4 linked regions of the Arabidopsis thaliana genome follow. The protein of the gene in region 2 interacts with the protein of the main gene of each other region in a pairwise test. Each region holds a gene or a part of one and is shown on either strand. Other genes may lie near its edges. The genes, in order: CDSP32, MYBR1, MORF3 and AT5G12190.

Region 1 (6,220 bases), on a different chromosome or scaffold from region 2:
GACGGAGCTTACTCGATCGAAGCTACGTGTCACGCTCCTAAGCTCGAAGAAGTATACTCGGAGATCTTCAGAGTGATGAAACCAGGATCTTTGTTCGTGTCCTACGAATGGGTCACCACTGAAAAATACAGAGACGATGACGAAGAACACAAGGACGTGATTCAAGGGATCGAGAGAGGAGACGCACTTCCTGGACTAAGAAGCTACGCTGATATAGCCGTGACGGCGAAGAAAGTTGGGTTTGAGGTAGTGAAGGAGAAAGATTTGGCTAAACCACCGTCTAAACCGTGGTGGAACCGGTTAAAGATGGGAAGGATTGCTTATTGGAGAAACCATGTTGTGGTTGTGATTCTTTCTGCTATTGGGGTTGCTCCTAAAGGAACTGTTGATGTTCATAAGATGTTGTTTAAGACTGCTGATTATTTGACCAGAGGTGGTGAGACTGGAATCTTCTCTCCGATGCATATGATTCTCTGTAGAAAACCAGAGAAAGCTTCTGAATGAATGATTGAGAATCTTCTTCCTTGTTCTCGTTTTTCTTCTTCTTTCTTTCTAAGTTCATGTTTTGCCCCTTAAGAATCTCTTTGTCGTCGTATTAATGTTATCACTTTGTTGTTTATTGTATTTTTTTTTTTCAATTTGATTTGTTTAAATTGATGATGGATCACTGGAAATTAGTTTTTCGCTCTTCTTAAATAGTTTCTGAAAGAATTAGCCGGGAAATTCTATTGGAGTGATCCTTTACCTTTTTAAAATTTTGTAGAGTTTACAAGTCTCTGTTTAGTTTTAATTTCTAAGATCAAACTCGGAATAAACCGGATTAGCACGTCTATAGAGTTGCATAAACTTTTAGTATCATCAATGAGGGTAGTTTGGTAAGTCCTTAGGTGTCACATTGTGTCTGTAGTAGTGAGTCGGGAGTGGTCGTGTGGGATTTTGTGGGCTGTCCGATATGCATATGTTATTGTCGTCAACTGTCTGATATATTAATCTATGTATCTTTTAAAGATTTGATTTTGATTTATTTTAGGCTTATGGTTTGTCGCATTGCGGTAGTGGGTAGCAGCGTGGTCGCACGAACTCCGGCTTACCTTAGAAAACGATATTTTATTTAGTTATTTAGTTTTTTTTTTTCCAATTTGTTTTGTGCATTACTAAAAAGATTGTGTCATTTGTGTGTAAAAGTTTACTAAAACACTGGGTCATTTCTATAGTGGGCTTTTATAATGATGGGCTTAAGGCCAATTTTTATTGGTTTACCTCACTTCCAGTTCCACCGGGAGTGGATATATGCTTATATTCGTACGTGACATCAACAATAATACGCGTATACATGTGTAAGTCAATGGACAATTTGGGTCGAAGCTGAGAAAATTGTCCAAACTATGAGAGCTGACGCAATCTTTTGTTTTCTTTTGGCCGATACATTTTCCGCTTACCAGATGGAAAAGAAACCACAATGTCGAATTTATCCAACCGGTTCAATTAGTCTTACTTGGATGCTGGTGGAATTTTCCAGAATGACAACAACTTGAACAAAATAAACTTGAATTGCTTTTAGAAACAGCAATCTCACCAAGTTCACATATTCCTTTTATATTCCCACGAAAAAAATCTAATCAACAGTGAACACAATCCACACAAGTTAAACAAGTGGACATAAAAGTCTTGGACCCATTTTAAAACATCTATCCACATTAAATCATTCACTGATCTCTAACCAATCCCACACACACTACCACAAACAATGGCCACCGTCGCTAACTTCTTAGCCAAACCAATCTCCACCGTAGTCCCACGGCCATCCTCCGCCGTTGCTTCGACCTCCTCCTTCGTATTCTTTAACCATAAAACTAATCCTCTGTTCCGGAGGAAAAACCTCCCGAAAAGATTATTCTCCGCCGTGAAAATAAAGGCTGGAGCGGCGTCTCCGGGAAAGGTGGGTACACCACCGGCGAATGACGAGAAGGTACAAAAGATTCACAGCGGAGAGGAATTCGACGTAGCGTTGAAAAATGCGAAGAGCAAACTCGTGGTTGCAGAGTTTGCTACGAGTAAGAGTGATCAGAGTAATAAGATATATCCGTTTATGGTGGAACTGAGCAGGACCTGTAACGACGTCGTTTTCTTGCTCGTCATGGGTGATGAATCTGACAAGACCAGAGAACTCTGTCGGAGAGAGAAGATTGAGAAAGTTCCTCACTTTAGCTTTTATAAGAGCATGGAGAAAATACACGAGGAAGAAGGTAATTTCCGAATTATCTCTAATTTCTTTTCTCATTAAAAAGAGAACTCGATTTAATCTAGAAAGTAAATAAAACATATTGGAATTAGACTTTACTTAACCGATAATGCCCCTAATTTGTTGAACAAATTTCTCTAAGTAAGGAAACTTTTAACAGAATCTCTCAAAATCACCTAGATTTTAGCAGATTTTTGGACACACGTTTATTAGCTGATTACGATGTACGATGATTATTTCTTTAGGTACATAATATTGTTATTTTGATGTTGTAACACTAACCATTTAAAAGTATATGAAGCATAATAAGTCACCTAGTAAATTAGTAAAGTAATGTAGTGGCAAAGACGTAACTAAATTGAAAAGTTTGACCATCGACAGGTATTGAACCGGACCAGTTAATGGGAGACGTTCTATACTACGGAGACAACCACTCTGCGGTGGTGCAGCTGCACGGCCGACCTGACGTGGAAAAGCTGATCGACGAGAATCGCACTGGAGGCAAGCTGATCGTGCTTGACGTTGGTCTAAAACATTGTGGTCCTTGCGTTAAAGTGTATCCGACCGTGCTGAAACTGTCCCGGTCAATGTCCGAGACAGTCGTATTCGCTAGAATGAACGGTGACGAGAACGATAGTTGTATGGAGTTTCTCAAGGACATGAATGTTATCGAAGTTCCAACTTTCTTGTTCATTAGAGACGGCGAGATTCGTGGCCGTTATGTTGGTTCCGGTAAAGGAGAACTCATTGGAGAGATTCTTCGGTACTCAGGCGTTCGTGTCACTTATTAATTTGTATCAAAACTTTAATTTTATTACATCTCACTTCAAAAAAGAATGAGTTTTTGGTCTTTGTCTGTACCATCCGAAACCGGTTGATATGAAAGAAAAAAAACTCAAAATAGTGTGATTCTTGATTATTTGATTTTGCTTTTGTGTTCTAACTTTGAAGGCACGGAAACTTTGACGGATTTGAATATTTCCGTAAGGAAGAATGAGATGTTAATGATTTGTACCTACCCAATGAAGATATTGTATTATTCCCAATAAATATATACACATTATCATCATTTTGTATGTGATATTAATGGTTGATTGTGATTTACATTTAATATATGGACAATTTGGTGGTGGAAAGACATTGGTTGTTGTCATACTCTCTGTCACAGAAGGAAATACAAAAACTAATTTGTAATTGTAACTGTAAATATGTAGCGAGAAAGAGTTTTTTTTTTTTTTTTTTGGACGGAGCAAAATTGATATTCACAAAAGACTATTGAAGTGAACGATCATCATCCATCATCACAATATATCACATATATACACAAAACAAGAAAATCCAGACTCATTGTGAATGATGATCATTATACAATTTGAACTGCAGTAATTGATATAGTATACTGAAAGAAAGAAATTTAATCAAATGGTTTGAAGATGAAGTGGTTTTGGTGGATCCATGGTTCTTCTCTTCCACAAGTTAACTTCTTTCTTTGGTTTTAACCCTAAAGGAGCTGAAAAAGGGATTATTATGTCATCTTCATCCTCGTCATCATCGTATCTCAAGTAAGCTCCTCTGGTGTCGTCGTCAGAATAGTAACCACGGTGATGATCAGCGGGTGATTCTTCTTCATGTTTCATCTCAACCGCCCAATCAAAATCACCTAAAGCATCACGACTGCTAGCGAATTTCTTCATCTGACCTAACGAAGGCACCGCCGCGGTGGAAACCACCGTAACTGGATGTTCATCCGCGGCGGAGACGGCGGTAGGATGGGATTTTCTTGATGTGTTTCGTCCACTCGCCGGCGAGAACGAGAAGATACTCTTGATCTTCGAAAGACGACCTTTTTCATCTTCTTTTGTTAAAGACGACGTTGACGTTTTGGAGATTTTAGGAATCAGAGATGAAGGTGCTTTGTTCTTTTTACCGGTTGGGCATTTAGACTTACCAAGCTTGATCTGACCGATACAAGAGACTTTAGGTGAAGTAGGTTCGTCCCAAACAGCGTCGCTTTTGTTTCTTCTAACCCGAGCCGCGTTAGGTACCAAAGGAACCATAGGACCAGAGAAAAACATTTTGTTAGCCGCCGTGTAATTATGGTGGTTGTTGTGGTGGAGATCTCTTCCGGGACTAAACGGTGGAACTCGATGTCCAAACGACATCGCTTTAGGAAGCATCTTCAAAAGCTTGTTCTTGTTCTTAGGTTTTGAAGTTGAAGTATGATGCTTAATGTCCATCGCTGATCACAACAGCAAAATTCGCAGACAAGAACAGAGGATTCTTCGTTCTTTTTATGTTTGGGTCTAATATGATGTGAGAAGAAGGAAAAAGAGAGGAAATGAGTTTGAAAAAGTCAACGATGATGCCTGGATTGGAGGAGTTTTGGTCAAATGTGAGAGCTAAAAAGGAAGAAGAAAGACCTTTGTGTTTATACGGCCGACTTTATAAAATCAAAATGCGGAAGACATGTTTGTTTTTGTTTCAAGTTTCTTCTTTTTGTTACTACTACCTAAAAGCTAAACGGCACATTTTTTTATTTTCCAAAGATGATGATTAGTTAATTACTAATTTGACTTTAGTTTGTGCCTCAATAGTCCAAAAATCAAAATAGTATAACATTTCTTTAAGAAACGGTGGTGATATTTGGGACCTACATGCAAGCAAAATTCAGCCATATCGGAAGGAAGGTAGAAGTTAGAACTTATCAACGATGCATTGAACTAGTTGGAGCTTTATGAAATTTTACTTTTTTGTTAATTAGCATTTAAAGTTCTGTAATTGAAACACCTAAGAGAGAGAAAAAAAATACAATGTATTTCAATCGATAAACATACTTCTTCTTCATATACTTGCATGTTTGAATTCTGATAATAATATTAACACAAATCATTCAGTAACACGTTTTGGTAAATGATTGTCTTTTAATTATCGAAACTATATTTTAAATCCTACGTAGTCTATATTAAATTACTGAGACCTTGTCTAAATTATTGATATCTTGTGTTTACAATTTCGTGCTTCAAAGAAATTAAAAAAAAAAGGTAGAATATTAGTCAACCAAGGGACGAACAACTCTAGTAAACGATTTTAAATAAACGAAAATGGACCAAAAACAATTGAGAAATTGCGAAGCTGTACACTGAGAAAATCATATTATGGAAACACGATGCTAAACCACCTAATATTTATTCAAAGCTACCTAATTAATTTTGGTATCTGTTTGCTGTAAGTTAAACCACGATGGTTCGGATGGGCTTCCGTAATTAGGACCATCTAAAACAGAACTGTTATTAAAGATGGTTGGTAAACTATAATTTGATTTCAATTAACACCGATTACCGGTTTACACTTAAACCACATATTTTCATTAATTCTTCATCATGTCCTTCTCACGTGACTCTTTCCTTCTCCGATCTTTTTTCTTTTAACTCAGGACTCAGAGTCAGGAACTTCTCTCTTACCCTAGATTTCGATTTTGATTTCAGTTCTTTCTGAATCGATCCTTCTCTGGCCGTAAATTCTTAATTCAACGGTTGGTTGATAAATTATGGTTCAATTAGATCTGCAGAGCTTTATTCTCCGGGCTCGAGTGCTTAAACTTTACCGACAAGCATTGAAGATAGCTCACAGAGCTCCTGTTCATGTTAGAGGTTCGTGTCTTTCATGTCTCTTATTTTTCTATCTATGAGATTCGTCACATAGACAATAAATTTGCGTTCACCGTACATCCATTTGATTAAAAATCTCGAAATCTAGGGGTTTAGTAGATTTCGGAGGATAAACTTTGTTTGATTTTATGTGTTGATGTTTTGTAGGGGAACTGAAACAGACTGTTAGGCAAGAGATGGAAAAGAACAGAGACTGCAATGACAAACAAAAGATTCGGTATCTGATTAGTGAAGGTTTAGAGAGAATCAAAGGACTTGATGAGATGTTGGATATGCAGGGCCATTAACATTTTTTTTTTGTACTTCTTCT
Region 2 (6,715 bases):
CACGTTAGTTAGAAATTATTTATTGGGCTTAGTTTCTTTTTGGGCTGATCTTTTGAAGCCCATTTATTGTATAATCTCTACGCTATTGTGTGTTACTGTGTTTCCTATGATATTTAGTAGCTGATAAGTGATAACTGATATTCTCTGTATGAATTTCAATGAATAGTTTTCTGATTCTAGATGTTTTAAGAAGTTGAAAAGGACTTGTTGAAATAAATTATGGGGGAAAAGGACAAATGACCAACTAACAATCAGATAGGCCATTCCAAAATTGGGCTCCACCACTTTGACGACAAAAGCCCATTTATAGGGCGGCTCTACTTCGGCCTTTCATCAACCACACATACACTCCTAATGATTATTATTCAATATATTTTTAGTAGGTACTGTGATGTTGTTAACTTTCAGTTAGATAGACCCGCCGAAACTTTTTCTTATAATATTACATATAATTTCGCTCTGTTTATAATCATTTTATTCCTCTACTTAAACAGAAGCTTCTTTCATTCTTTGTGTTCATTGAACTTGTTTACTATACGGAAAGTTTCTGCAATTCTATAAAAATATATATAAAATAATGAACTGTTTATAGAATTGTACTTACTTTTTTGGTTTTAGTGAAGCAAATTTCTATTTAATCACACATTTACTGCACTCTAAAAAGGTGAAAACCTAAAATGTAATCGTTCACACATTATCTTCATGTTCAAATCCGATGGAATATTTATCGATCCAAGAGTTTCAATTAATAATTTGCAACATAATCTTCTTATGCCTTTCTTATTTAGCAAGTGTGATGGTCGATCCATTGATCATTGTTCATGAAAGTTGATGATGTGGTCGATATTTTCTCCACATGAGAAGTATTGTTTTGAAAAGAATATTTATCATATACTACTATTATTGACAGAAAAAACAGTGTAGAGAGTATTGTTAATATTAATTAAGTCAAAAAAAGCCGGCGGCCAATGTGGGGAAAAAGCTTCACACACTTTCATGTAGTAATCTGTCCTTTTGTTTCTAGCTTTATATTGCCCTCGCTTTTGCCCGTTCATGACTCTTATGATGCTTGGTCGTAAAACGTGATTCCATGCATTATCTTATAGAGTTATAGTATATAGATATTATCAAAATGATCAAGTTTTTAATATCCCAATTCTACATTTGAAATTTTTTAACATTTGATTTACAAAGTTGACGATAAATTTCAGATTTGAAGACGAAATAAAGCAAATCTTTAAATAAGTTTTTTTGGAAATATCATATGATATCAGAATTCTAAAAAATCCAACAAATCGGTAAGTTCTAACATATAAGATGAAATAGTACTTGGTAGGTACAAAAATTAAACGTTTTGATTCCACACATACAAAAAGAAGAAGAAAAGAGTAACTTTTTATTTGTCGTCCAACAAAGAATCGCTTTTCAATCAAGCTTTAGTGAAGGTGTTAGGTGTGTGTGGCTTAAGCATATACATCAGAAGACCAACAAAATTTATCTTAAGCACGAAGGTCACCGAACGTAGTCGTTTCAACGATGACCGTACCATTAATGCAGATTTGTAGTGCGTGTGGATATATACATGCACACGTGTGGAAGGTGAAGGTACAAAATGTGCATACGGCTTAAGGATAAGCGAGAACACGGAAGGATATTTTGTAGCAGCATCTTTCTATTCTATGCAACTAAGTAAACGAACCACATGCACCTGTTTTCTTTAATTTATTGCCTTTGTGATTTTTTTTGTTGACACCATTATGTTTTTTTTTTGTTTGTAAACCATATAATTAAGTAGTTTCCCTAAACCGTTAACAATTAATACATTCTATAATGTCGAATAAAAAGAAAAGGTAATGCAAGTGGAAGAATATCTAAACACGTTAGTAGACCAATAGCAAAATTACAGTTGCTAGCTTACACGACAGGAGGAACAAGACAAGAGTAGTTTTGCCTTTGTTAAGAATAATTAGCATGACACGTCACTCAAACTTACACGTGGAAGGATAATTCATGGACACGTGGACATACTGGAAAACAGCTGTTAAATCTTTGTCCGGTTATCGTAAGTTTTTGAATTTTAAAACTGTATTTAGCCGAATTAGGTCATGTTCCACGTGCCTTTTTTTCTGCACCACTATCTCTTTTCCACAAGAGGGGCAATGATTTTTTGGTCCAAAAATATACAGTTGTAATCTTGGACGGTGTGTCTTAAATAAAATAATATATGGACGGTGTTTTCTTTAATGTTTTCTATGTTCATATGAACTTCTCGGTGGTCGTTTCAATCACAAAATTTATCATACCAGAAAACAAAATATTTTCAATAATTGAGGCTGTACGTTGTGTATTTTAGGTTTTTTCTTTAGATTGTTGCATGTTATATTTTCAGTTTACTATATGTTGTGATGATTATTCGTTACAAATGTTTTCAAAATGTCATACTATAGTAGTCATTTATAATAGATATGAAAAATGATCACAGTTGATTTGTTTTTTTGGTGGACTACGAATAAAATCGTTTTGGTAATTGTCTAATCTTCGAGTGAGTAAGACACCGTCAATCAACCATCAATATCATCAATCAAAACCATTATTGATCTATTTTTTGGTTTAAGGAAAAGTTGGTAATTGTAAAACGACTTCAATAAAATATTTAAAACAAGGAGACCAAAACCGACACTCGGACCATTGATAATAGAAACAACGAGCAAGGTTATAGTAGTATAGTTGAGTCTCACAAACGAACACGTAAACCCAATATAATAACTACGCAAGGTTACATCTAGAGCTTATTGTTCCCATCACAATAACCTCTTGGCATTATTAATTATCAAATTCACTCAAAGTATTAAACTCCTGATGTCTAATAGATTATCAACAAATCGACAAAAATGTAGATATATAACTCAAAAGGTATAAATTCAAATGTTTGGTGGGGTTACGTAAAAACTTGAATTATTAAGAACTAACAATACTATAGTTTAATTAAAAGGAGAATTATGAACCGTTAGAGGGAAGGTTAGGGAGCGTGCATGAACATTACCTGACGTTTACCGACCTGATTCGTACCGTACATACCAGAACAAAGAGCTTTTAAAAACCCGCGTTTTACGACCGACACGTGGCAGTTCTTAAATGGATGACAGTTAGTGTTTTATTAATTGTTTTTGTTTGATTAACAAGTTTTATACAGCCTGGCTGTTTCTATTCGTATTTTCGATATAATAATTAAATATATTTCAGGAAACAAAGGCAGTGATGATTTTGCGTTCCAATTCGGCAACCTATGTTGTCGTTTTCTGCCACGTCAAAACCTCCTATCTTTTGTTAACCGCACATTTTACATCACGTTTCCTAAACCGAACATTAATATCTAACCATTTTTATACATTCACTTAATATCGCTCACACGGTTCTTTGTCAATCCCATTTTAATCCAGCTTCGTTTCAAATTATTGAGGTTTAGATCTTTTTATGATCATAGAGCAACTATATATAGATTTAGTATTGTCAATTTGTCATGCACTGTTATATGCATGAATTAGGTGTTTGTGTGTTGTTTAGTAATTAATTATACCTTCTTAGTGACAATTTGTTTTCTTTATTAGTAATGAAATTTGTGGTCAATAATTTTGATTAGTTTTCAACCCGGAAAATCGGTTATATGTAAAGTAGATATTATCATAAAGTTTTTATGTGAAGTGCTATACAGCCTGGCTTCGCTATTCTAAAGTCAAGACTAAACATAAAAATAAATAAAAACTGTCCTTACCCAAACCTAACCGTTATCATCTTTTTATTTTTTTCTTCAGATATTTCTTTTTCATTTTTATTTCCCCTATAAAAAAATTTAAATTCACCTCAAATTGTGCGAATATTATCATGGCTTTGCTAGTTGGGTTTCGTGATTTTGTCTCTTTAACTTCTTACTTTCGCCACGCGCTTAAATGGCGCGTGTACTCACAAACTCATACTTTGAGACTCGACTGATCTCCACGCTCAACTATACGAAATTGCTGATCTTGAACAAAATTATTACGAAAACGACAAAAAAGACACATCGACGTAGTCAGGCTTCGACGCGTGTCCACTTACAGCTGTACCGCAAACTTTGAAAAACCGCTTGCGTGGAAGAAGCGTTGCCCATGACTTCTCCACCGTCTTAACCGGTTTCCGGTTATCCTCCTCTCTTAAATCTCTGTATAAATAATTTTGTCCTCTCTTTAGTTTCTCGAACTTGTTTTTGGTTCATCTCTCAAAACCAAAATCACTAAAGAGGAGAAGATTGCTAAAGTTTGATAAAACATTCCAAAATCAATGGCTGATAGGATCAAAGGTCCATGGAGTCCTGAAGAAGACGAGCAGCTTCGTAGGCTTGTTGTTAAATACGGTCCAAGAAACTGGACAGTGATTAGCAAATCTATTCCCGGTAGATCGGGGAAATCGTGTCGTTTACGGTGGTGCAACCAGCTTTCGCCGCAAGTTGAGCATCGGCCGTTTTCGGCTGAGGAAGACGAGACGATCGCACGTGCTCACGCTCAGTTCGGTAATAAATGGGCGACGATTGCTCGTCTTCTCAACGGTCGTACGGACAACGCCGTGAAGAATCACTGGAACTCGACGCTCAAGAGGAAATGCGGCGGTTACGACCATCGGGGTTACGATGGTTCGGAGGATCATCGGCCGGTTAAGAGATCGGTGAGTGCGGGATCTCCACCTGTTGTTACTGGGCTTTACATGAGCCCAGGAAGCCCAACTGGATCTGATGTCAGTGATTCAAGTACTATCCCGATATTACCTTCCGTTGAGCTTTTCAAGCCTGTGCCTAGACCTGGTGCTGTTGTGCTACCGCTTCCTATCGAAACGTCGTCTTCTTCCGATGATCCACCGACTTCGTTAAGCTTGTCACTTCCTGGTGCCGACGTAAGCGAGGAGTCAAACCGTAGCCACGAGTCAACGAATATCAACAACACCACTTCGAGCCGCCACAACCACAACAATACGGTGTCGTTTATGCCGTTTAGTGGTGGGTTTAGAGGTGCGATTGAGGAAATGGGGAAGTCTTTTCCCGGTAACGGAGGCGAGTTTATGGCGGTGGTGCAAGAGATGATTAAGGCGGAAGTGAGGAGTTACATGACGGAGATGCAACGGAACAATGGTGGCGGATTCGTCGGAGGATTCATTGATAATGGCATGATTCCGATGAGTCAAATTGGAGTTGGGAGAATCGAGTAGACAAAGTGAGATTATTAGGAAACTGTTTAAATTGGAGAAGAAGAAAAATGCTCTGTTTTTTTCTCCTTTGGATTAGGCTTAAGAATTTTGGGTTTTAAGGAAATGTATAGAGGAAATCGAGTGAACAAAGCTCGAGAGCTGGGGACGTAGTGACGAAGACGAAGATCAAATTTCTCTTAAGCTATTCAGGAAAATAAAATAAATTTTTATTTATAACTACGCTTAATGATGATAATAGATCAAATTAATACACAAAGTATCACAAAGTGAAAGATAAATGATCCAGTTAAAGAACAAGTTTGTCGAGGATTGGTAAAGACTTGCATTTGGCAACTAAAGGCACAGATTTGGGCATGGTAAGACCCTTTCCTTCCGACATGTCAACGGCAACGTCATTGTCTCTCTCCCAATCGAAACACTGGATCAATGAGCCTAAAGCTAAGCTCAGTACTAGTTGGGCCAGGCCCATACCAGGACATGCTCTCCTACCGATTCCGAAAGGCAGAAACTTACCACGATGGGTCTCTGATTCAAACCTCTCTGGTTTGAAAGTTTCTGGGTCATCCCATACATTTGGGTCTCTCTGAATAGCCCACGCATTGATAAATAGCCAGGTGCGACGTGGAATGTCAAATCCAGCGACTTCACAGTCAGTGGATGAAGCGTGTGGGACAAGTAAGGGCGCCGCCGGAAACAAACGAAGAGTCTCAGAGATCACATTGTTGAGATAGGGACACTTGCCAGTATCTGATTCCTCAAACACACGCCCTTCTTTCGAAACCTCGTTTAGTTCCGTTTTGAGTTTCCTTAAAACTTCCGGATGATTTAGAAGGTTAGCCATAGCCCACTCCAACGTCACTGCGGTTGTGTCCGTTCCAGCAAGCAACATCACCTGCAATGAATCCTTTGAATCTTTGATGAATCAATCTTGATCACTCCTATTAACGATTCAAAATTATAGGAATTAAAAACTCATGTACCTGTACGAGCCCTTTGATGATATCATCAGTGTAACATTCAGGTTCTGATTCTTGAAGAGACAGCAAACGAGTGATCATCGTTTTCTCAAGCTCTGCTTTTCCTCTGTTTTTCCGATGCTCGTCGACTAATTTCTGCATAAACTTGTCCAATTTCGAAGCGAGTTTCTTTGCTCTCTTTCTGTATCCATCAAGATCAAAGAGCTTCAGAGTCGGGAGAAAATCTCCGACATAATTAACACCAGCGAAATCGAACACCTCCCTAATCAGCTTCCGAACTTCCTTAGTTTCCTCGTCTTCCTCTCGTTTTCCAGCGACCATGCTCATTAGGATGTTATACGTAAGCCCATAAAGAAACGGCTGGAGTTTCAATCTGACACTGCCTCCTGATGTTACCAGTTCCACGTTGATCTTCCGAATCATAGCTCTCACTTCGTCTCTCCGTATATCCGAAAAGTCTCTGAGACGAGCGGTGGACAAGATATCTACGGCGCAGAAACGGC
Region 3 (6,297 bases), on a different chromosome or scaffold from region 2:
ATAATTTTTTACATGAAAGTTGAAATATTGAAGCAGAGAGAATTTTATATTGTTTTTTTAGCACAATATTTTGCATAGATTGAATCCAAAACCTCGGAAGTCTAATTGTATAGGAGTATGTATTTGTCTAGAGACAAAATATGTAACAACATTATAAATATATCTAGCTTTGCTTTGAAAATTGGATTCCGATCGGATTCCGTGATTTGTTTTCTGGTGTTTGATGTTTGACTATAACTTGAGACAACAAAAACAGTAGTTTGGCTTTGGACATAAGCTAAGTATGTATGTACCAAATGTATTACATGCGCGTTGATCTATAAGGAAAAACTCAAAAACACTTTAGTACTTTAAATTATGTCATGGAAATTAATATTTGAACTACAAAGTTTTACTTGTAATTGACTTCTTGTAACGAAGCCAAGCAAATTTCAGTAATATATTCGAAACCTAATTCATTCATTACTGCTCAAAATCAGTATTAAGTCAAACATAGCGGTTGTAATTGGTCACCCGAAAGTAATAATCACATGGGAATGCTAACGTCTAGATTATCAATAAAAAATGTCAATTACTTCCTGAACTTTTATTTCTGAAACATATTTAACGAATGTATGAAAAAACAAAGTTTGGAAGCTCTTAAAGTCTGAAAAAACAAATGTCAGTGAGCACGTGAGATTTGTCATAAAAATTGTCGATGATGAATCTGCAGAAGGATTAGGTTATGGACCGACGATAAATGTTTAGCCATTTATGCTATAAATTTTACTTCATTTTTTTTTTGGTGTGAATTTCAGAGAAGGCATACCAAACAACCTCGTAAGAACATTTAAACATATGAAATGCCATCGATTTCTTTCTAAGAAATCACATATAATTTAAATCGACGTTGTTATAATCTCTCGATTTACTCCATGTAGAAAAATTTCCTTGAGAAATGATCACATGAACAAGCACATCTTCTGCTCCCACAATATTGCTTTTTTGACACATATTTCCTTATATTTATGAATAGAACCCGTATATTTTCAGAAATGTGATACGAAAACTCTTCAATGAATTATATAGCCCAACCCATAACTTTGGGCTTTCACGTATTAATGGACCCTTCTTGCGTGCGACTCACGTGTGAATACTGCAAGACACGTGGCTTCTCTATTCAACGCGCAAATCAGTTACGTGTACAATTTATCCGCCTCCTTCGGATCCGAATCAGCTTCCTGATTTATTTCCCGTCATTACCCAAATTCGCCGGCAATGTTGTAAAAATCCCTAATCCAAAACTATTTCGTGGATTTTAGGGAAAAAAGAGAATTCGAACAAGGTCGTCGTCGTCGTCGGATTTGTAGATCATCATGGAGTTCTCTTTGATCGCAGATACAGTCACAGTTTGCACGGCTAAGCAAGGTATCGCGTTTGGGAAATCTCTTCTTCAAAGGTTGGATTTGGCCAATCACATTTCTTTCGCCGATTCCGTTGTTGATCATCAATCTCCCGGTGGAGGAATCGTTCAAGCATCGGCGATTATTTTCCCCGTCGATGCAATTGCTCCTCCACCGGTCAGATCTAGCTCTTATAAGACAATTCGCCGGATCCGTAAAAAGCGACGAACCAGGCGAGTTTCGTTTGGTGGAGATGGAGATGACGCAGGAGATTTTGGTCGTTTTCTGTTAGAAGGTGATTTCGGTGGTAGCGACGGTCCATTTGGATTTGGAGGCGGAGGAAACGATGGAGGCGGAAAGGGATGGAACTACGGCGGCGGCGGCGGTGGTTTCGGGAGGGATAATTGGGATGGGTCTTCGTTTTCGTCTTGGTCAGATCCAGCGATGGAATTTGTGTATGAAGTGATTTGCTGGATCGCGTTGTCTAATTGTGTGCACTTTGCGTTCAAGAGGATAGTGAGGATCGTGACCGACGGTGAAAGGGAGAAGTTGAACATTGCATTATCTCCGGTATGCTGACAAATTCGTGGTCGTGGTGATGATTCCTGGTTAAAAGTATTCTTAATCTCGGTTCCAATTACATCATATGATCTCTCGTGTGTATATATATTACATTGTACATATTTATTTAATTTCTCCTTCGCAAGTTCACATTAGATTTTTATAATTTGTTCTGTTTAGAGTAGTGTTTAGTCATCATTAGAGACATGAATGATGATTGATTTGTTTGATTAAGTGGATAAAAACTGAAAAGTCTCTCACATGAGTGTTTAAGACAAGCATGTAAATACCATAATCCTAATAAACTCCATCCATTACATAATGCATTGTTCATGTTTAATATTAAGCACTGGGCTTGTTGAACTCTCCCGGATTTACTGGAGAATGAAGACCCATGGATGGCTCTCTCCTCTCAACCTGCATTGTCTCACGGCGCCTATCATACCTTGGCCTAGGACGGGGTCTAGTATGACGCTGTTCCGTGAACCTGTACTGTGGTCTGGGTATGACCTTTCCTTCAACGTACAAGTCACCTGAACATGAGAGCCAAAGACAGATGGTATCAGTATTAAGAACCATATCTCAGTACCCAATCATTCAGACAAAATCTACAAACGTTACACACCTCCGTAGTCTTTGTTTGGTACATCGAGATAGGAATCCGGCAGCACCCAGAGAACACCAGGCAATGCTAATGAATCACACAACTCTAGATCAGATTTCTCAAACAGTAAAATATGTTCTCATTTTATAGTACTAGAGACAGACAATAACTGCGATAAAACAAAGATCAAGAGAAGTTTCCTCCTAGCTGTTGAACAGAGCAGTACCAAACAGAGAAAGCCTTTTACGATAAATCTCAACATCATAAGTAAACAACTAGAAAAGCTATGTCAGAGCAAAAAAGGCTTAAAAACCTAATTGCAAATATGGAGAAGTTGATACCTTTGACTTTGCAAGAGAGCTCTTCAGAGATCAAAGCACCAAAGCCAGTGTAGGTCGAAGTACAAACAGAGTAAATCTTCTTCTTGGCCTCTTCCTCACTATAGTTTAACCATTATTACCCACAAAATGCAAATCCGTCAATCCCCAAATGCACAAGAAAACATTTGAGAGTCAAAATCAAATGAAAAGGAACTTGCCAGCCAAGGACGGAAGTTAAGGTTTTGACATAAGAATTGATCATCTCTTCTTCAGTAGGTTTAGGATCAGTGAACTCCATGACGATGAGCCAGTGCTCATAATCGCACCCATCAAGAAGAATCGTCTCCTTCGGCGGACGGTTGCTCCAATTCGGCGAAGGATCATTCAGCGGCGAGTATCCGGACCCGGATGTCTTGGGTCGGGTCGAGATGTAACACGGGCCCAGGCTGGTTCGGGAAGAGGAAACCTTTTCAATTAGAGGCATGGCGAATCGAGAACGAGAAGAGAGCGTAGGAAATGAAGAAGAATATGAAGTAGAGGAAGAGAGGGTTTTGTTTAGGAGTGTCGATAATGTTCGCCGTGTGCTGATAAGAGCCATCGCCGGTGAGGGTTTCGGCTTCTGTTCTTCTTCGGTCCTTCTCTTTGCAGAAGCTTTGAGAAACTATATGGGCTTAGTGGGCCTTTGATTTATACTTTTTAGATGGGCTATTAAAAAATTTCTCTACATTAAATTCCTTAGTTTAGTAGTTAAAAGTTTCCCAACAGAAAAATACTTTAAATCTTCTTGTCAAATACTTCAACACTCCTAATTGAAACACTTTCAGTGTTAAAAAAATGTTTCAATTATCGCTTGTCAAATTGTTTGTTCATTCTTAAGTGTTTTCAGAAAGAAAATTTCGTCCTCGTTAGCTATAAAACGTATTCATTTTGTATTAGCTTTCTTAATGTGAATATGACGTCCTAAGTCAAATCACCTAATCTAAAATTTTGATTTGAGTTAGCAAAATGTCCATCAAGTTAATTCATGGATAACTTTTCCAACCTATATATGGTTAGTAATTAGTAATTATCTTTGGCTTTTTTTGGATGCATATAAAATCACAATGACGATAATAACGATGATTATCAAAATCAAAATGGTTACTGTATTTACTATTTATAAAAAAAGAAAACATAGAATTATCTCTCCAAAAATAAGAAAAGTAGATAAACATTTCTGAAATTGCTGTAAGGTCAAAAGTAAAAAGAAAATTATCCAAAAGAAAGGTTATGCGACTTTCCGTAAATGGAATTGTTGGTATGAATGCGTGTATTTGTGTTTTAGAGAGCTATTCTTGTTGATGAATCTCTGAGGAGCAGAGCGAGATAGAGGAGAGTGAAGGAACATCATGGGAAGCAGCACGGGCGATCTTGTGACACGTATCCAATCAGCTCACCGTTTCGATCACGATGCCTTGTTTCGTTTTGCCGCCGACAACGTCTCTGGCTTTCCGACCAACCCTTCCCAATTCAAAGTCTCACAGGTATGTTTTCCAATCGCCGAGGTTTTTTCTCCGGTAAGAAAGAAACTTTTATCTGACTGTGTTTTGTTTTGGTTTGGTTTACATACAGTTCGGACATGGGCAGTCGAATCCAACGTTTCTGATAGAGGTTGGCTCAGGGAGTTCCTTGAAACGATACGTTTTGAGGAAGAAGCCTCCTGGCAAGCTTCTTCAATCTGCTCATGCTGTTGATCGAGAGTTTCAGGTATCAATCAATTAATAATCTTTACCTCTGTAAAATTCATTGTAACTGTTCATACTCGATTTTTGAAGAAGATGAAATTTTGTTGTTTCTAGTACCGTTTTGAAATGCAGAATCATTGTAACTTTTTGTGATGCTGCTTATAAGAGATACGGTATCAACTAAAGGTAGATGCTTTTTTTGCTTAATACTTTGATGGTGGTTGGTTTATGTAGGTGCTTCGGGCTTTAGGTGAACATACACAGGTTCCTGTTCCTAAAGTCTTCTGCTTATGCACTGACCCTGCTGTCATTGGGACTGCTTTTTACATTATGGAGTTTATGGAAGGACGTATTTTCATTGATCCAAAGTTGCCGGTAAGATATTCTCTGTTATGTGAATGTGTATGTACGGTTTTTTTAGCTTGAGATGTGACTCATTGTAAACGAAAGGTGTAAATTTGTGTGTGTTTCATCGGTTTTGATTTAGAATGTAGCACCTGAAAGGAGAAATGCGATCTATCGTGCAACCGCCAAAGCCTTGGCATCTCTTCACTCTGCTGATGTGGATGCCATTGGTCTTGAGAAATATGGTCGGCGAGGCAATTACTGCAAAAGACAGGTTTGTTCTTTATTTGGGGCTGGTGAATTTCCAAATCACTACTCACTAGTTTGATGTTCTCTTAATGCTTATATGCTCTTGCTAAAGTTTTTTCTTTTGGATACCTCCATTTCAGATAGATAGGTGGTTCAAACAATATTTGGCTTCAACAAGTGAAGGTAAACCTGAAAGGAATCCAAAGATGTTTGAGCTTGTTGATTGGTTACGCAAAAACATCCCCGCGGAAGATTCAACTGGAGCAACATCAGGCCTTGTCCATGGAGACTTTCGCATTGACAATCTCGTTTTTCATCCTTCTGAGGTCTTAATACTTTCAAGATCTTTTGTTTTCTGATCCTTGGATAGTCTCGGAGACTTAACTGAAAATATCTTAAACTGTAGGATCGAGTTATTGGAATAATTGACTGGGAATTGTCCACGCTTGGGAACCAAATGTGTGATGTTGCATACAGCTGCATGGTAATAACCTATTCTTGTTTGTTGTATTGTACTCATAAAGCAGTTTTCTTTGCTTCCTGCTCTGATATACAGTTCATTTGTGTTGGCAGCATTACATTGTGAATGTTCAGCTCGATAAGGAGCATGTTAGTGAAGGTTTTGAAACTACTGGGCTTCCAGAAGGAATGCTTTCGATGCCAGAATTTCTCTTAGAATACTGTTCTGCATCGGTATTGTCCTGCAACAACATGTAGTCTTTAAAAGGAATCAAGTCAGGTGTTCCTTGTACATTGCCTATATTTTCTCAATTTCTGTTGTAGTGACATATTGGCAAATGAACTTTAGGGAAAACCATGGCCTGCTGCAAACTGGAAGTTCTACGTAGCGTTCTCCTTATTTCGGGCTGCTTCAATCTACACAGGGGTGTACAGTAGATGGTTAATGGTATTCCCCGGGCATATTTTTGAATTCTAAGATTCTTTATTATGCAGTTGTAGAGCCATTGACATTGTGTTGATCATGCAGGGGAATGCTTCTGCCGGTGAAAGAGCGCGAAATACAGGGGTTCAAGCTAATGAGCTTGTAGAGTCTGCCTTGGGTTATATTGCACGTGAAAATGTTCTTCCAGAACACCCTCCATCTGGTAATC
Region 4 (5,582 bases), about 23 Mb from region 2:
GAATTGACCCCCACACGCACCTCGCCATGGAATTTATGGGTACCGAGACTATTGATGATTTCTTCAGTGGTCAGGCAGCGGCATTAGCTGGTGGAACAACTATGCATATAGACTTTGTTATACCTGTCAATGGGAATCTGGTGGCTGGTTTTGAAGCCTATGAAAACAAATCTAGAGAATCTTGTATGGATTACGGTTTTCATATGGCAATCACAAAGTGGGATGAAGGTGTTTCCAGGGACATGGAGATGTTGGTCAAGGAAAAGGGTAAATGTCTTGTCTTGTGACACATTGATGCCTCACAGTTTTGGTGTTTCTATCCCTTTAGTTTCCCTGCTAAGATGAAACTGAGTGCATATATCTCTAAATTTTGTAGGTATCAACTCTTTCAAGTTTTTCCTAGCGTATAAAGGATCTCTTATGGTAACTGATGACCTACTCCTAGAAGGACTTAAAAGATGCAAATCCCTCGGTGCCTTGGCCATGGTTCATGCTGAAAATGGAGATGCAGTATTCGAAGGACAGAAAAGAATGATTGAACTGGGCATTACAGGTCCAGAGGGTCATGCTCTTTCAAGGCCTCCTGTGGTAATTTGCGTCAAGCATTTTCCATTTTATTATACTGCCTCCTAGATTTTTTCTTTTCTCCTATATCTGCTCTTGCCTCTGTAAAGCTTTGTTGAAGCTACTAAAACAAGATCCTTGTTTGACAATGTCAGCTCGAGGGAGAGGCCACTGCTAGAGCAATTCGTTTGGCTCGTTTTATTAACACGCCTCTCTATGTTGTTCATGTGATGAGTGTTGATGCAATGGACGAGATTGCTAAAGCTCGAAAATCAGGTTTTCTGTTACAACTCATGTAGGACTAACCTTTTGCTTTTCTCATTGTATGGACATTATCCTGTTAGAAATCAATCTCCTATCCGAACATCCACTAGTGCAATAACATATGTGTAGAAAAGTACCTTTCAAATTTTTACTTAGTATTTGGCTTAATAAATATGAAAAGTTTTTTTGTTATGTATTTCAGGACAGAAGGTTATTGGAGAGCCTGTTGTGTCTGGATTAATCCTTGATGATCATTGGCTTTGGGATCCTGACTTCACAATTGCGTCCAAGTAATAAATCCTTCAGTTCTGTTAATCAAATGATTCCCATTTATTCTTTCAGATTTTCAAAGTTTTTCTCAATATTTCAGGTATGTCATGAGTCCACCTATCAGACCAGTAGGACATGGGAAAGCCCTACAAGATGCCCTTTCCACAGGAATCCTTCAGGTTTCTTTCCTCGCTGTGCATAAACTAGAGAATTGCATGACCTGTAGCATCAAAATGTTAAGATCTTCTAAACACCTTTTTCTCCTTTTATTGGGATAATCTCTGCAGCTTGTAGGAACTGATCACTGCACTTTCAATTCTACACAAAAAGCTCTAGGACTTGATGATTTCCGCAGAATACCTAATGGTGTTAATGGTAATAGCTGACTTGACTGGTTTCTTGCTTTCTCTGCTCACTGCCCCTGCTAACCTGTAAATACTTTTGAACTTGTCCATATGTTTAGGCCTTGAGGAACGGATGCACTTGATATGGGACACGATGGTGGTAAGTACTTGTGGAATAATAAATTCTTCTTTCTGTACAGAAGTTTTAATCGTTTTCTGTATATCCTAATCCAGGAGTCTGGCCAACTCTCAGCTACTGATTATGTTCGAATAACCAGCACTGAGTGGTATATATGCTCTTTCGAAGCTTCTTTTTAATGTTGAAAATTTGCTTTTTCCAATGAGCTTTTACTTGAAAGTTATGTGTTTGCATTTGAAATGACTTTAAGTTTGTCAGTGCTAGAATTTTCAACATATATCCACGGAAAGGAGCTATCCTTGCTGGCTCGGATGCAGATATTATCATATTGAATCCAAACTCAAGCTACGAGATTAGCTCAAAGTCTCATCATTCAAGATCAGACACAAACGTCTACGAGGGCAGAAGAGGAAAGGTAATGATACCCTTTTTACAAACAATTCGTCTTTACTGATTTGTATAATCTCTGAGCAATCATAACCTTTTATTTTATTGGGGACTTGATTGTTAAATCTCAGGGAAAAGTTGAAGTGACAATAGCAGGAGGACGAATTGTGTGGGAAAACGAGGAACTTAAAGTTGTTCCAAGAAGTGGCAAGTATATAGAGATGCCTCCTTTCAGTTACCTTTTCGATGGTATTGAGAAATCAGATGCTAATTATCTATCTTCTCTTCGAGCTCCAGTTAAGCGTGTCAGAACTGAAGCTACGTAAAGTGCAGGTATCTATCTGCATATCGTGATTCTGTAAGAACAATTGTACATAATTTGTATTAAAAGTATTGAAAGAGCGATTATGAATAATGTGCATGTAGTCTGGTTTTGAGAAAAAATAAAAGATTGTAAAATTTATCCGTGAGTTAATTAGTCTATGTTCTCTTTATCTCAAATCCTGTGTGTATTAGAAGAAAAAGAGGAGACATGCGAAAAGCTTCTTAGTTTAAACATTACTGTTTCCAATAATCAAGCTTTTGAGCTGGAGGCCGCACAGGTATATAAGGCTGCTTTTTTAGTAGGTTGATCAACACTGAAAGGCGTTCAGGTTTTTGCCATCAAACCAGAAATAGATATCGGTTTGGTAAATTACTTTTGGTTTTAATGGTTTACATAAAATCGTCAATCAAAATCCCCCAAGCCTGCATTCGGAAAGACGATTATACCCTTTAATTCTTCCACCCTATAAATACTCGCATCGCATCAATCGTAATCAGAACTATTAACTTTCATTTTCCGATAGAAGAACTTTTTTCACGGCGGCGATAACAAATCACCGGCTAATAAAGGAAGGAAAAGAAGAAGAAGAGAAGCTATGACAACAATCAGTCTTCGCAAGAGTAACACCAGACTCCCACCGGAGGTGAATCGCGTGCTCTACGTTCGTAACCTTCCCTTTAACATAACGAGCGAAGAGATGTACGATATCTTCGGCAAGTACGGCGCAATTCGCCAGATTCGAATCGGTTGCGACAAGGCGACGAAAGGTACTGCCTTCGTCGTTTACGAGGATATCTACGATGCCAAGAACGCCGTCGACCATCTCTCTGGCTTCAACGTCGCGAATCGGTACCTAATCGTGTTATACTACCAGCACGCGAAGATGAGCAAGAAGTTTGACCAGAAGAAGAGTGAAGATGAGATCACCAAGTTGCAGGAGAAGTATGGAGTCTCTACCAAAGATAAGTAATTGTCCTTGAATTCGATCTTCTTATGGTCGTTCTGTTACTGCTGCAATTTAGGGTTTTGAAATTCTGGGAGATGTGAAACTTTCTTTTATCTGTATGAATTTAGTGGAGTTCTTTATGTAAGGTTTGCTCTTTTGTCATTTACATCGACCAAGCAATGAAAAATACATCTTTTAATCCCAAATTAGCTATTGCTGTGACAATTTTTTTTGTGCTTTGATGCAATTTTCCGAGATTGGTGTTCAGTGTTTTGCTAGGAACTAAGTAAGAACGAAAAATCACTAACACATACAAGAGAATTGAAAAAGAAGAACTTAAGTACATTGAGAAAATATACATAATTCAACAGCTCTCCCAAATCCCCTTTCAAGTCTGTTAATATGCATTGTGGTTGCGATAAACGTTCCATTGTCTATATTGTTCCATTACCATCAGCCTCGACCTGTATGATTCGCAGAGCCGAACAAAATAAAGAAAAACAGAAAATAGTGTTAGTCTCCTTGCTGCTCGGCGTTGAAACTCTTGCAAGTACAAGAAGTACTCATAGCTTCCGTTAACTGCTGACTTCATTTTCTGACAACCTTGTACCTTTGCTTAGTAAGTCCCTGTCTTAACTCCTCGAGTGTAATTGTTCCACTGCTATCAGTGTCCATACCTTTAAACTTCAACCCCATGATCTCTTCCTCTGACAAGCAGTTGGTCGTTGTTTGGAATCAGAGTTGAGCATCTTTTTGTTTACAGTTTTATGATGCAGGGAGAGAGTATGGTGTGGTGTGTCAACCAGTTGGATTTTGATCAAATGAGGGGTACTATATTGAATGCACTTGCTGATGTTTATGTGGAAGATGGAATTATTTTCGCACTGCAGCCAAACATCAAGGTATAACTAATTTATCCTTCATTTTTTTGGTAGTCTGAATTCCATTTTTCTATGACTCTTTCTGGCTTTGCTCTTCATTTGATCTTTCTCTCTAATGAATCGAGTTCTTAAGCAGAACTTTTGAACAATAAATTGATATATATTGTCTTTAGCTACGATTCTTTTCCAAAGTGGTGCTCACTGTTTTGCTAGGAAATGAGAACGAATAATCACTAACACATACAAGAGAATTGAAAAAGTTTTTTTTTTTTTTTTTGAAGTACATTGAGAAACCCATGGCACTTTAAGCAGTAGTAGACAACTAGAAAAGAAAATGTACATTATATCAAACACCTCCCCCCAAATGCCCCAAATGATTTTGTTTTCCTTCTTGAGCCTTCTCCTCCCTTAAAGATCTCCTCCACTTTAGAATAATTTTCTTTGATATTTGCTTTGCCTTATTTCTCATTTTGAAAGGAAGATGAGTTTCTCGACCCCTGTGTGTAACTCTCTTTCTATCTCCTCTCTTCCTCTACTTCAACAATTGTGTTCATTTGAATGAAAGTTCACGCCGCTTCTTTGGGATTGGATCCGGGTTTCCTTTTCTCATCATTGCCACAAATTCATCATAGTTTATCCGACCATCATTGTCTCCATCAACCTCGGAAATGATCTCCTTAATGTCTCTGCCATCATTCATGCCAAACTCCCGTAGGGCTTGCTCTAGCTCTTCCATTGTGATATATCTGGGAACAGAGAGCGAGGTGGATTTTTGTTTCATAAGCTTCATATTCATGATTAAAGTCTGGAATCAGTTATATAACAAACTGTACTGTCAAGTACTTACCCACTGTTGTCTTTGTCAAAGTGTTGGAAGGCTGAGTAAAGATGTTCTTCTCTGTCAAGTCTGTTGATATGCATTGTGGCTGCGATAAACTCGCCATAGTCTATTGTTCCATTACCATCAGCATCAGCCTGTAGATACACAGAGCAAAAAAACACAAAATTAGTGGTGAGTCCCCTCCCTACTCTGTTGCTCGGCATTTGACTAAAGCTAAATCTCTTGCAAGTACAAGAAGGACTCACAGCTTCCATTAACTGCTGAACTTCATATTCTGACAACCTTGTACCTTGCTTAGCAAGTCCTTGTCTTAACTCCTCGAGTGTAATTGTTCCACTACTATCAGTATCCATACCTTTAAACATCTCCTTCAACCCCATGATCTCTTCCTCTGATAAGCAGCCTGCTATCACCTGTCCAATGGTTTCAGGTTTCTAGGTTAGGATACTCTACTGATAGTCATATTCTATTGGGTAAGGGATATATGATTGTTACCCGTAATGCAACTTTCTTGAAATTGTTCATTGCTTTGAATTGTTTGAGCCTGGACATCACCGCATTATCAAGAGGAACATCTGGTGCCTCTCCATCCTCCTTGATCCATGGATGGTCTTTACAAAG

Evidence for each region.
Region 1: the proteins of MYBR1 (region 2) and CDSP32 interact in binary tests that used the Arabidopsis thaliana proteins (3 or more experiments, as listed by UniProt).
Region 3: the proteins of MYBR1 (region 2) and MORF3 interact in binary tests that used the Arabidopsis thaliana proteins (3 or more experiments, as listed by UniProt).
Region 4: the proteins of MYBR1 (region 2) and AT5G12190 interact in binary tests that used the Arabidopsis thaliana proteins (3 or more experiments, as listed by UniProt).

Annotation. Positions count from the first base shown.
Region 1 is NC_003070.9:28,544,876-28,551,095, reverse strand, and holds CDSP32 (chloroplastic drought-induced stress protein of 32 kD), read left to right. Parts: upstream 1-1,509; 5' UTR 1,510-1,747; coding exon 1,748-2,246; intron 2,247-2,623; coding exon 2,624-3,033; 3' UTR 3,034-3,310; downstream 3,311-6,220. Other genes in the region: SMT3 (sterol methyltransferase 3), read left to right, coding at 1-504; AT1G76070 (uncharacterized protein), read right to left, coding at 3,661-4,479; AT1G76065 (LYR family of Fe/S cluster biogenesis protein), read left to right, coding at 5,790-5,892, 6,058-6,197. UniProt on the Arabidopsis thaliana protein: Probable thiol-disulfide oxidoreductase involved in resistance to oxidative stress. May participate in the reduction of alkyl hydroperoxides derived from oxidative stress by acting as a physiological electron donor to the BAS1 peroxiredoxin.
Region 2 is NC_003076.8:26,849,792-26,856,506, forward strand, and holds MYBR1 (myb domain protein r1), read left to right. Parts: upstream 1-4,230; 5' UTR 4,231-4,317; coding exon 4,318-5,235; 3' UTR 5,236-5,521; coding exon of another isoform or gene 5,522-6,127; 3' UTR 6,128-6,215; downstream 6,216-6,715. Other genes in the region: CYP81G1 (cytochrome P450, family 81, subfamily G, polypeptide 1), read right to left, coding at 5,522-6,127, 6,216-6,715. UniProt on the Arabidopsis thaliana protein: Transcription factor. Represses the expression of protein phosphatases 2C in response to abscisic acid (ABA). Confers resistance to abiotic stresses dependent of ABA. In response to auxin, activates the transcription of the auxin-responsive gene IAA19.
Region 3 is NC_003074.8:2,142,279-2,148,575, forward strand, and holds MORF3 (plastid developmental protein DAG), read right to left. Parts: upstream 3,530-6,297; 5' UTR 3,466-3,529; coding exon 3,086-3,465; coding exon of another isoform or gene 3,082-3,085; intron 2,987-3,081; coding exon 2,889-2,986; intron 2,635-2,888; coding exon 2,569-2,634; intron 2,477-2,568; coding exon 2,286-2,476; 3' UTR 2,106-2,285; downstream 1-2,105. Other genes in the region: AT3G06780 (glycine-rich protein), read left to right, coding at 1,356-1,961; IBR3 (acyl-CoA dehydrogenase-like protein), read left to right, coding at 4,256-4,390, 4,479-4,613, 4,826-4,966, 5,079-5,210, 5,326-5,511, 5,592-5,669, 5,759-5,878, 5,994-6,092 and 1 more. UniProt on the Arabidopsis thaliana protein: Involved in organellar RNA editing. Required for the processing of RNA editing sites in mitochondria.
Region 4 is NC_003076.8:3,938,412-3,943,993, reverse strand, and holds AT5G12190 (RNA-binding (RRM/RBD/RNP motifs) family protein), read left to right. Parts: upstream 1-2,557; 5' UTR 2,558-2,888; coding exon 2,889-3,263; 3' UTR 3,264-3,513; downstream 3,514-5,582. Other genes in the region: PYD2 (pyrimidine 2), read left to right, coding at 1-267, 377-588, 720-840, 1,031-1,118, 1,199-1,277, 1,386-1,473, 1,562-1,602, 1,677-1,729 and 2 more; CPK17 (calcium-dependent protein kinase 17), read right to left, coding at 4,671-4,866, 4,968-5,095, 5,207-5,374, 5,457-5,572. UniProt on the Arabidopsis thaliana protein: May be necessary for the splicing of pre-mRNA.